Canis lupus familiaris: one gene and its partners. The protein of the gene in region 1 interacts with the protein of each later gene in a pairwise test. Links are inferred from orthologs where the notes say so. Each region holds a gene or a part of one and is shown in the gene's direction. Other genes may lie near its edges.

Region 1 (3,743 bases):
GCCCACTAAAACGGAGGCAGAAACTCCAAGGTTTCTGCCCTCCAGGGGCCTGAAGGAGACGGAGGATAGTGGAGACCTTTCCCGGCACTCTTCACAGCTCTCCGGTGGAGAGCAAGTTGCAGGCCTTGACCTGGACCGCCGCTTCCAAACACGAACCTCCAAACCTCCGTGAGTGGGCGTGGGTGCTCAAGATTCTCCCCCCACCAGGTTGCAGAATTGGGAGAGGGACAGATACCAGTTTAACAAAATCTCTTAGGGGAACTGCATCTGTATAAACCAAAAGAAGTTCCCTGTGATAGACTGCATACTTTTAACAGAAACGTTTTGGCAGGCCGGTATGCGAGAGTCACTAACTGGGCTAGATTGTGCACCTTCCCGACCGGACTGGAGAGTTCACGGGAAGGACGCGGCGTTGGCCCCTGACGGTGTGTGGGGAGCGTTTAGAACCCGACTGAGGCCCTCAGTCTCCCCTTTCAGCTACTTCGGTGCTTGCGTGTGATGAAAACGCACCCGAAATTCCACTTCCTTTTGCCTAGTTTCATCTCGGGCCTGAACTTGGGTCTCTAATTCGGAGCTGGACGGAGGGTGGCAGGAAGGGACCACAGGGGCCAGGGCCTGATGTCGCCGTTTGGGACTCCTCGGGCTCCAGAAGCCCGGGGGAGGAGCCAGGGTCGTCTCGGACAGCCTCGCGTACGCCAGGCTCAAGAAGCCACTACAGAGCGGATTCACCGAGACGCGGCCACGGAGGACACAGCCCGGCGGCGGGAACCCCGCTGGCCGCTCCGCCCCTTCCCGCTCGGACCCGGCCTCCCGCTCGGAGCGGCCCGCCCATCCCGGGGTCTGAGCCAATAGGAAACCGAGATATATATGACTCACCATGTCTAACCAATCAGCTCGACGCTCGCTCTCCGCCAGCATCTCGCGCGATAACCAGGCGGCCTCTGACTTCACAATAAAAACCTTCCTTGAGGTGAAAGACTTCTCTCCCCGCCCCCCAGGCTGACGCCGGAAGCGAGGTGTGTCTGAGGAATCCCTCCGCGCTCCCGGCGGCAGAGGGAGGAGAGGCTCTTTGATCTTAGTAGCCTTGCAAAGTAGCGCGCCTTTTTCCTTTCTCGAGACGTTGGAAGTAACAACTCTTCTCTTCACAGCTACGCCGTGGACCTAAAAGTCGCTGGTCGGACACGATAGGGGCGTCGGATCGCGAAGACGGGTGGGTGGGAGGCGCGGGTCACGTGACCGCGGCGGAAGGATGTGCGGTGTGATGCGTCCTCATAGAGGCAAAGTCTATAAAGGACCCTCGATCGGCGCGGCGCGGCCATTTCCCTTCCTCCCGCCTGTAGATGTAGATCCCTGTGGCAAGCGTGCGCCTTCCCTCCTCCAATCCCCCAGGGTCCGCGGCCGCCATGGCGTATTAGAGGCAGCAGTGCCTGCGGCAGCATTGGCCTTTGCAGCGGCGGCAGCAGCACCAGGCTCTGCAGCGGCACCCCCCAGCGGCTTAAGCCATGGCGTAAGTACGGGGCCGCCCGCGCCGTGCTCCCCCGGGTCGGCGAGGGCAGTCGGCCCGCCTGGGCGCGGCCTGCGGCGGGGCGGGGCGGTGCCGCGTAGGGGGAAGCGGCTTTACGAGCGCCCGGGACGCGTGGCCCCTGTTTGGGTGTCCTCGAGACGCCGACGCTTCTGGGTCAGGAGAGTGCGGCCCGGCGGGGAGAAGCGAGCCCTCGGCGGCCCCGGCCCCGGCCGCGGCCCCCGACGGCTTCCCGCCCGGCCCCCCGCGAAACGTGGCAGGGGCCAAGATGGCGGCCGGGCAGGGCGGCGGCGGCGCAGCGTGAGTCACGGGCGGCCGTGGGCGGGGCCGGGCGGCCTGGGCCGTATTTGGACATGAGCCGGGCGCGCCTCCTCCGGCGGCGGGGGGAGGAGCGGCCCGGCCCCGAGGGCGTCCATCTTGGGCGGCCCGACGGGGCCGCGGGGAAGGTGGAAGCCATGGCCCCGGGGCCACGTGTCCCCGAGCCTCTGCTCCCGAGTGGAGTTCCAGTCTGGCCGTCCTGCCCCCGGGAGGAAGGGATGAGCTTCCCGGACCGGCCGATGTCGAAGGGGTTTCGGTTTCTGCTTCCGTTTCAGGCTTTTCACGGCATCCAGCAGCAGCGTTGCTGTAACCGACAAAGACACCTTCGAATTAAGCACATTCCTCGATTCCAGTAAAGTCCCGCGACATGGCCGAGATGAGTTTCCTGAGCAGCGAGGTGTTGGTGGGGGACTTGATGTCCCCCTTCGACCAGTCGGGTTTGGGGGCTGAGGAAAGCCTAGGTCTCTTAGACGACTACCTGGAGGTGGCCAAGCACTTCAAACCTCATGGGTTCTCCAGCGACAAGGCTAAGGCGGGCTCCTCCGAATGGCTGGCTTTGGATGGGTTGGTCAGTGCCTCAGACAACGGCAAGGGTGAGTGGGGGTCGTTGGCCGCCGGGTCTGGTCTCCGGGCTGTTGCTGAAGTGTGCGTCTGACCTCTCGGGTTCCTTCTTGACTCTTTTGCAGAGGATGCCTTCTCCGGGACAGATTGGATGGTGGAGAAAATGGATCTGAAGGAGTTTGATTTTGACACTCTGTTCAGTATAGATGACCTGGAAACCATGCCAGATGAGCTTTTGGCCACGTTGGATGACACGTGTGATCTCTTTGACCCCCTAGTCCAGGAGACTAATAAGGAGCCCCCTCAGATCGTGAACCCAATTGGCCATCTCCCAGAAAGTTTACCAAAAACAGACCAGATTGCCCCCTTTACCTTTCTGCAACCACTTCCACTCTCCCCAGGGGCCCTGTCCTCCACTCCAGATCATTCTTTTAGTTTAGAGCTAGGCAGTGAAGTGGATATCTCTGAAGGAGATAGAAAGTCAGATTCTACTGCTTACATTACCGTGATCCCTCAGTGCATAAAGGAGGAAGATGCCCCCTCAGATAATGACAGTGGCATCTGTATGAGTCCTGAGTCCTATCTTGGGTCCCCCCAGCATAGCCCCTCTACCTCCAGGGGCTCTCCAAATAGGAGCCTGCTGTCTCCAGGTTCCCTCTGTGGTTCTGCCCGCCCCAAACCCTATGACCCTCCTGGAGAGAAGACCGCAAAAGTAAAGGTTGAGAAACTAGATAAGAAACTGAAAAAAATGGAGCAGAACAAGACAGCAGCCACTAGGTACCGCCAGAAGAAGAGGGCAGAGCAGGAAGCCCTCACTGGTGAGTGTAAAGAACTGGAAAAGAAGAACGAGGCTCTGAAGGAGAGGGCAGATTCTTTAGCTAAGGAGATCCAGTATCTGAAAGATTTGATAGAGGAGGTCAGAAAGGCCAGGGAGAAGAAAAGGGTCCCCTAGTTGGGGGTGTCAGGAATGTGTGCTTGTACATAGGCTTGCGCTGAAGCTGTGTTGTAATAAATTATTTTGTAGTGAAAGTACTTGAGCTCGTGTGTACCTGGTTTCTTGTCTTAATCTCTACCCTGGTGATGGTGACCAAGTCAAGTGGAGTTGGCTCAATCCTGTTGGGCTCAGGGCCTCCACAGGAGACTCTGGGGGTGAGGCTGTGGCCTCATAAGCCATAACACTGACTAGTCTTGAGTACCCAGGTAAGGCCCCACCTGGGCATACAAGGTTAAATTCCACTTTGAACTCAAGTTCTGTAAACTCAATCCTGGAACTGCAAAGAAAAGGTCTTTGGGTTTTTCTTGGAATGGACTGTTAAAGGAGTTTTAAAGAGATGCAGAAATT
Region 2 (3,743 bases), on another chromosome or scaffold:
GGTGTTTGGTAGGAAAGGGAATGAAAAACCCATAAAGCAATCAGCTTACCTTTGAATAACTAAAAAAGTCTTTTAGGTGGTGTCCATCCCTCCTGAGTAAAGTGTAGTTTCTTGGAGAAAAGGTGAGATTGGAGACTAGAATTTAGTGTGTCTTTTGGGGGGTATACTTATATGGCTGTTACATGAGCATGTGATTAATTCTGAAGGCAGAGGTTCAGAACATCCTATTTTAATAAGAAGCTTGAAAGAGAAGTGGATGAAAACATGCAGCGAAGCAAAATACAGCATTTTCAGGGTTCAATCAGATAATATCCAGCATTTCTTCATTGTACACATCTCCTCCTCCTCTCTCCCGTCCCCCCCCCCCCCCCCCAGGGAGAGGACACAGGGCTTTGGGGGGTGGGGGTGGGGACACGAGGGTTAGGGGAATGTTTAATTTTCGTTTAAACTGGATTTATCCCACTCTCTGAGTGGCTTGAGTCTCCTGACCTGGGTCAAACAGCAGATGAAAGAGGAATAAGGCAAGGCACCAGGTAAAGCTAGACCTGGATCACTGTTCAACACACGTATCTGTTTCTGAGTTTGTTATTCTGTTCAAGAGGTGACCAGCCCAGACCGTGGCAGTAAACTGTGCTAATTTCATTTACATTTTCAGAGTTGGGATCCTTCAAGTTTGTTATGGGCTTTTATGCAAAACATATGCAAATCGGTAGCATTCTAAAAATTCCGTATGTTTTCCAGTCCTTTAGTCACAAACAACCGAGGCTGGCGCCGGGCAGCAGTAGTCGGGGAGTGGGCGCCGGGCCGGGGGCGGGGCGGGGGCCGGGGGCGGGGCCGGGGGGCGGGGCGGAGCCGCGGCCTGGGGCGGGCCGGGGCCGGGGCGGGGCCGGGGCGGGGCCGGGGCGGGGCCGGGGCGGGGCCGGGGGCGGGGCCCGTGACGCGCCGAGTCGGCCGGCTCCGGGGCTGGACCTCCGCCTCTCCCCGCCTGGGGCCGCCGCGGCACCAGTGGCGGCTCCGCATCTCCAAAAGGGGCCCGCCGACTCCTCGCTGGGCCAGTCCGGCGCTAGGTCGTGGATCCCCGCGCAGCTCCCACCGGTCTCGGAAGGGGAAGGGATCCCGCCTCCCAGAGTTTCGAACAACTTTCCCCTCTCCCTGGCGCGGCGGTGGCTCGGGGACCGTGGCCGCCGCAGGTAGCTGAACCCCGGGCCGCGCTCCCCGCGCCTCGGCTGCGCGCGCGCAGGTCGCTCCGGGTCTCGGTGCACGCTGGGGATCCCCGAGCTTGGCTCTGAGGGCGAGATGCCCCTGGGACACATCATGAGGCTGGATCTGGAGAAAATCGCCCTGGAGTACATCGTGCCCTGTCTGCACGAGGTCGGCTTCTGCTACCTGGACAACTTCCTCGGCGAGGTGGTGGGCGACTGCGTCCTGGAACGCGTCAAGCAGCTGCACTGCAACGGGGCCCTGCGGGACGGCCAGTTGGCGGGGCCGCGCGCCGGCGTCTCTAAGCGGCACCTGCGGGGCGACCAGATCACGTGGATCGGGGGCAACGAGGAGGGCTGCGAGGCCATCAGCTTCCTCCTGTCGCTCATCGACAGGCTCGTCCTGTACTGCGGGAGCCGGCTGGGCAAATACTACGTCAAGGAAAGGTCCAAGGTAGGACGCGCGGGCTCCCCGCCGCCGCCGCCGCCGCCGTAGCGCCCGGGGACTGGGGACCTTCGGAGCCCGTGTCTGTTGCCTTCGCTGGGCTGCGAGTGAACTTTAGCTTTTAACCGACGAGCAAGAAGTCAGTCCGGGTCCCCCTCCCCCACCCCGCCTCCCAGCGAAAATCCGTGCTGAGGGACTCAGGTGTATGATTACCATGACCTTCTGTTAACTGAAACAGTGGGTCTCGTGGGTGGTACACACCGGGCAAGCTGCGGTTTTCTGGGCTGGTTTTAATCCGTGGAGGTTCCCAAAGGTCCAGATGAGGGACAGGTTATTGGAAACATTGCGTATGATGGGAGACACGTGCGAAGTCATGATATTAGATGTGTCCACTTTAAAAGTCCCCTAATACTGTACCTCATCTGTGTTCAGAGGGTATTCCTCTTAAAGAATTCTGGAGACAGTTGTGATGTTTTTCAGGGTGACATTTGGTGTGTGGAGTTTGGCAGATGTGACCAAGTTTGACCTGAGAGAGAGTAAAGCTGGTCTGCACTTTTGAGTGCTGCCCTTGGCTTGGTGCTGCCCTTGGCTTGTTGCACACTACTAGACGGGCTCCCTGGCTGAGCAAAATCTGTCCTGCTGCTGAGCCCTACGCCACCACCTTCCCTTTCCGAACTATCCATTGGTGGAGAAATCTACCCAAAACAACCAGTTAAGTGATGGGGAGAGTGTAGTCAGGTACCTCTGGAAAGAAACCCTGTTTTTGTTCACCACAGCCAGAAGTGACTCCCTGGGTGGTAATTTATCTTGGAAACGTTTCCAGGTAGATTGGCAGAAATATGGGAGCCGTGGTACCACGATGTTGGTCTGTGTATGTTACTTTGGGATAGTCCAGCTACTCAGCCTTTTCTACAAATGCTAACCCGGCCATTCTCCAGTGGCAGTTCCGAGTGATTTGCACTTTTATTGCAGACTGGTCAAGGTGCACCCAGAGCCGTAGAAAACTTTAGCACAGGAGGAGGCAGGGCATGCTAGCATGAGAAGAAAGGTGCACCAATCTTTAACAATATCTATACCATTTCTCAGTTTAGATCGACCCTTTGATAAAACATACCTTTATTGTCTCATTTGCCTCATAGACCGAGGGGATACTTTTAGTAAAGGGCAAGTGAAAGACTGAAAATGGGTAGAAAGGACCCATTGGAGTGGGGGAACAGAGTAGAGGAGAAACACACGACTATATGCCTTTCAAAGCCAGGAGGACATGAATAGAATGTCTGAAAGCACTTGTTAATCAGACGCAAATAAAGTAAATCTTGGGAGAAAATGCTGCTTTCTAAGTTTTATTTTGATTTGGGGAAAACTCAGCTGCCTGGACTCTGTACAAGATTGACATGGAAGTGTTTTACTCTTTTATCATTTTAGTGATTAGAAAGCCATTTGTCTTGGTTAGTTTTGTTTTTGCACTGAATGACCTTGCCTCCTGGGGCTGGAATGGGGGGCGGGGGGGGGGGGGGAGGGCTAGCCTCAGTGTTACAGAAGTGCTTGTTGCCTCAGTCTGGAAGAGCAGATGGCTTCTTATCAGTTTTGCAAGTTTCATTGCAACTCAGGTGCTAAGAATTTTACCCCCAACGTTCTAGGAACGTAATTTGCTCAGAGGGAGGTCAGGATTAATTGGTAGAAAGTCGTCACTAACAAATTTGAAAGTTAAGTATTTGTATTTAGCTTTGACTATAAATTGACTCCACAGACTGGAGGAGAAACACTGTATGTCTGGGTAAGGAAAAAGATCTCTAGATAAGATTCTTCAGTTATAGATTATCTTCTGGGTAGAACAAATAGCTTCTCAATTAACCCTTTCAGAAGGTGACTGAATTGAAAGGAGAAAAGTCATCTCTTGTCCATACCTAGATTTCTGGCTTTTCTTGAGCTGTTTTGGCACAAAGCTTTTCATTCCTGTCCTTTAGAAAAATCACCTCTAGGTTGGGCTATTCCGTGGCCAACTGGAACCAGCTGTAAACCAGACTTGAGCCAACAATTATTAAGAGTCGAAGATAAAAAGTTTGATTTGTTTGTATAAAGAATTCTCCCTCGCTTTG
Region 3 (3,743 bases), on another chromosome or scaffold:
TGGACTCCTGTCACCCTCAGACACCTGGCCAGTGCTGAGGGCTGGTTGCAGCCCTGGACAGGAACACAGACACACCTCCTGCAAAGGCCAAGCCCTGCCTGAAGGAGGAGCCCATGAGTAGCCTCTGTGTGGTGGAGATAAGATGGAAACTACACCTTGCATTCCAAGTGGAGCCCTCCAGCCTCAGGCTGAGCCCTGACCCGAGGTGTGGGGGGAGAGTGCTCCATGTGGAAGTCCTCCAGCTTGAAAGAGGTGGTTGGGAGCCATCAAGAATTTGCAGCAGCTTTCTGAGGCCTCCATGTTGATGCTGGGGGAAGGGGACCGGAACCACCTCCCAACCCCCAGCCAGGGCCTCAGATTGGATACCCAATAAACACCTTTCCCATTTTGAGCACTTGAGATTTGTTTTTGGGGACAGCAGCTTGACCTGCCTGCTGCCTAACAGACTCAGCAAGTGCCTGGCCCACCTCTTTTTGGGCAGAACAAGTCAGCCATTTATTTTCCCCAGAGAAGGAAAGAGTCTCCCACTTTCTGACCTCAAATAACACTAACAGGGCCCTGATCTTGAGCCTAGACCATTGCCACATGTTGGGCTGAGCATTTTGCATGGGTCCTACCAGTGCCTCCGCAGTGCTTGGCTTGCCTGGTGGCAGATGGGAGGTCAGCCTTCCGCAAGGGGTCAGTCCTAGTGTGGCTCCTCACAACGTGTATCACCTAAGCAGTGTTTTAAGCCTTTTTTTTTTTTTTTTAAAGCTAGGACCTATTGTAAGAAACATTTTATCTGGCAACCCAGTATAAGATACAAAAAATATATGTCAGACAAAACTTTAACAATACTTAATATCTGCCATATGCAGCTCACTTTTTTTTTTCTCTCCTGCCAATTCTGTCCTATTATACTGAATTCCCTGCCCATGAACCTGTGGTTTGCAAAACACGGATCTAGGGCAGGTGCCTCCCCCTGGACGTCCTGACCCAGGCTGCAATTTATCTATACTGTGAAGCAGGTAGGAGAGAAGGGTGGCCACAGCTTTCTAAGCGGTGCAAACATTTCAATTCTCTTTCTGCAAAGTTCAAGCCCTACTGTCATAGGGCTGGCAAAAATCCCAGGAGCAACTGGTGACCAGGCAGAAAGGCAGGGAGCAGAGCCGCAAGCTCAATAAACATCTGCCTTCTTAACGAATTTTCCTTGCGCGTCTGATTCGTGCCAGGCACTGTGCTGGGCCTCATTTCTTCTCCCGACCTCTTTTTCGGTGGAAGAACAAATTAGCCATCCCCACTCCCCAGAGAGGTAAAGAGCCTCCCACTGCCTGCCCTTAAATGACACCTCCAGAGCCCGGATCCTGATCCTGGACCATGGCCAGGCGCTGGGCTGAGCGCTTTGCCTGCACCTTCTCAGTACATCCTCCCAGCACACATAGCAGGATCCTAGCCTCCCGACTGCACAGGTGAGTAAACTGCACTCTCTTAGTACATCTTCCCAGCGCACCTAGCAGGATCCTAACCTCCCCACGGTACAAGGTGGGTAAACCGGGGCGGGGTCAGGTCCAAGTGCTCCAATGCCAGCTCAGACCCGCTACCACCTGGGCGATGCGGGTGCTGCTACAGGCCCATGCGTTCAGGGTCGGTCACGCTACTCCGCCCCCTCCCCGGTCCTAGGAGCCATCTGTGGGAGATGAAGGGGCGGGTTGCGCGGGTCCGTAAGGCAGTTCTCAAGGTGTCGGGTCTTAACTTTCCCGGTGCGTCGCCACCCACCCCGGGGATCCCGGAGCCGCTGCTCTCCAGGAATTGGGAATTTCTCGACGCACCCTGGCCGGGCTTCGCGGAGGGCGGGGTCGTGCGGCAAGGGGCCGTCGCGCAAGTGCAGCCCGCGCCTCTGCCGCAAACGGCAGGCCTCACCTGGGGCCAGAGGCTCCCGGAGAAGCGCGACGCCCCGCAGATCGGGAAGCGCCAGCGTCCCTGCCGCCTCCCACCGCCCCGAGGGAGACTGGCAGTCTCTGCCGTCCCGCCTGTCCGCGGCGGGTGGGCACTTCCCTCCACTCCCCGCGACACTTTGCAGACGCTCCCCGGCGCCGGGCATGGGCGCCGCCGCTGTCGGTCCCCTGGCCGGATTCCGCGCGCGGGTGGGTGAGCGCGGGGCTCTGGCCCCTCCGGCCCCGGGCAGCTGTGGGCGGGGGGTGGTGGCCGCCTCTGCACCCGGGACCTCGTGAATCTCCCGCTGAGACCCCCGGCCAACCTCGCTCCCCCTCCCACCCGGGGGACAAAGGGCGGGGGCGGGGGCGCATCCCCAAGCGTGACCTTCCCCAGCACTGCGCACGCGCCCCGCCCCCTCCACCACGGGGGAGGGGCCCTGCTCGCCCACACGAGTGCGGGGGAGGGTCGTGGGGAGGCGCAGCGCGTGGGATGGATCCCCGCCCCATGGCTGGAAGTTGGGGCACGGTCCCCTCCCTGCCGCGCCTCTCGCTTCTTTTGGCTCCGAGGTGACCCGTGATGAGGGGCCGCACCATCCAGGCCAGAAAGTCTCCGCTCGGGCGGCCCCGCGGGGAACCCACTCCTCCCCTCAGGAGCTCGAGGTCTGGGTGCCCAGCCCCCTAGTTCCCTAGAAACCCAGGACTGTGACACCCCAGGCGTTCCCCCTTATGCCACCCCTTCCCCACTTCCTCTGAGATGTGCCTCCATCTGCGGCTCTCCTTTCTGTCCAGTGCCCCTGAGGCGCTCAGCTGCCTGGGTCCACAGGAGGCCACGCCATGAATGACCCAAACAGCCGGAGGAGGACACGTGAGGAAGCTGGGACCCTGCCCCACCCTTGGAGCTCCCCTCCCTGTCCCCTACCACCCTGTCCCCTCCCTCACCGGGGCTGCTGTGGTTGGGGGCTGGTCCCAGGTGCCTTCCCTGGGGTGACCCCTGGCCTCTCCTCTCCAGTGAAGAAAGACGATGAGGCCTTCGAGATCTCCATCCCCTTCGATGAGACGCCCCACCTAGACCCACAGATCTTTTACAGTCTGAGCCCCTCTCGGGGAAACTTCGAGGGTGAGCTGGGGGCGGCGTGGAGGGACCCCAGCCGTCTGGGGTATAGGGCCCTGGAGGCCTTGGGTGTGACCAAGGCTCCCCCCCCTGTCCCTAGAGTCTCCGGAGGCCCCATCCCCGACAGTAGCCCTGATGAATGGTGTCAGGGCCCAGCTGCACATGGCCCTGGAGAGGAACTCCTGGTTACAGAAGCGCATTGAGGACCTGGAGGAGGAGAGGGACTTCTTGCGGTGTCAGCTAGACAAGTTTATATCCTCTGCCCGCATGGATGCAGGTCAGGTGCCTGAGGAGCTGGTCCCTCATGTCTGCTTTGGCCCTCCTCTGGGATTCATGACCCTTCCTCACCTACTCTTCTCCTTTGGCATCTTTTGTCCTTTCCCTGCTCCCCAGGCCATCTCCCAGACCCCAAAGATCAGCTTGCTTCCTTCCTGACTCCTGCCTTTGCTGATGGGCAGGACCCTGTGGCCATGTCAGGGCTTTCCTTTCCCAAATCTTTGGGAAGTCTAACTTCCCTGTTTTGGGGAGTCTAACTTCTCCCTTCTGCATGATGTTCAGCCCTTGCCTGGCTCTTTCCCAGGACTCCATATCCCCCTGTGAATCACCTGACAGCCTGGGCAAGGGCTCTGTTTTCTCAGCATCTGTGTTACTGGGGACCCCTTTGCTCTGGAACCACCTGTGGCCCAGGGTGCTGATGGGAACCAAACTAGGATGGTGGG

Evidence for each region.
Region 2: the proteins of ATF4 (region 1) and EGLN3 interact in a two-hybrid assay, tested with the Homo sapiens proteins (2 studies listed by BioGRID). The link is inferred for Canis lupus familiaris from reciprocal best matches to the Homo sapiens genes ATF4 and EGLN3.
Region 3: the proteins of ATF4 (region 1) and CCDC106 interact in binary tests that used the Homo sapiens proteins (3 or more experiments, as listed by UniProt). The link is inferred for Canis lupus familiaris from reciprocal best matches to the Homo sapiens genes ATF4 and CCDC106.

The regions. Positions count from the first base shown.
Region 1 is NC_049231.1:26,489,918-26,493,660, reverse strand, and holds ATF4 (cyclic AMP-dependent transcription factor ATF-4), read left to right. Parts: upstream 1-1,293; 5' UTR 1,294-1,507; intron 1,508-2,115; 5' UTR 2,116-2,207; coding exon 2,208-2,433; intron 2,434-2,526; coding exon 2,527-3,353; 3' UTR 3,354-3,438; downstream 3,439-3,743. UniProt on the Homo sapiens protein: Transcription factor that binds the cAMP response element (CRE) (consensus: 5'-GTGACGT[AC][AG]-3') and displays two biological functions, as regulator of metabolic and redox processes under normal cellular conditions, and as master transcription factor during integrated stress response (ISR).
Region 2 is NC_049229.1:13,056,914-13,060,656, reverse strand, and holds the start of EGLN3 (prolyl hydroxylase EGLN3), read left to right. Parts: upstream 1-960; 5' UTR 961-1,296; coding exon 1,297-1,653; intron 1,654-3,743. UniProt on the Homo sapiens protein: Prolyl hydroxylase that mediates hydroxylation of proline residues in target proteins, such as PKM, TELO2, ATF4 and HIF1A. Target proteins are preferentially recognized via a LXXLAP motif.
Region 3 is NC_049222.1:102,860,684-102,864,426, reverse strand, and holds the start of CCDC106 (coiled-coil domain-containing protein 106), read left to right. Parts: upstream 1-1,301; 5' UTR 1,302-1,448; intron 1,449-1,866; exon of another isoform or gene 1,867-2,127; intron 2,128-2,196; exon of another isoform or gene 2,197-2,573; intron 2,574-2,702; 5' UTR 2,703-2,747; coding exon 2,748-2,778; intron 2,779-2,922; coding exon 2,923-3,030; intron 3,031-3,124; coding exon 3,125-3,301; intron 3,302-3,743. UniProt on the Homo sapiens protein: Promotes the degradation of p53/TP53 protein and inhibits its transactivity.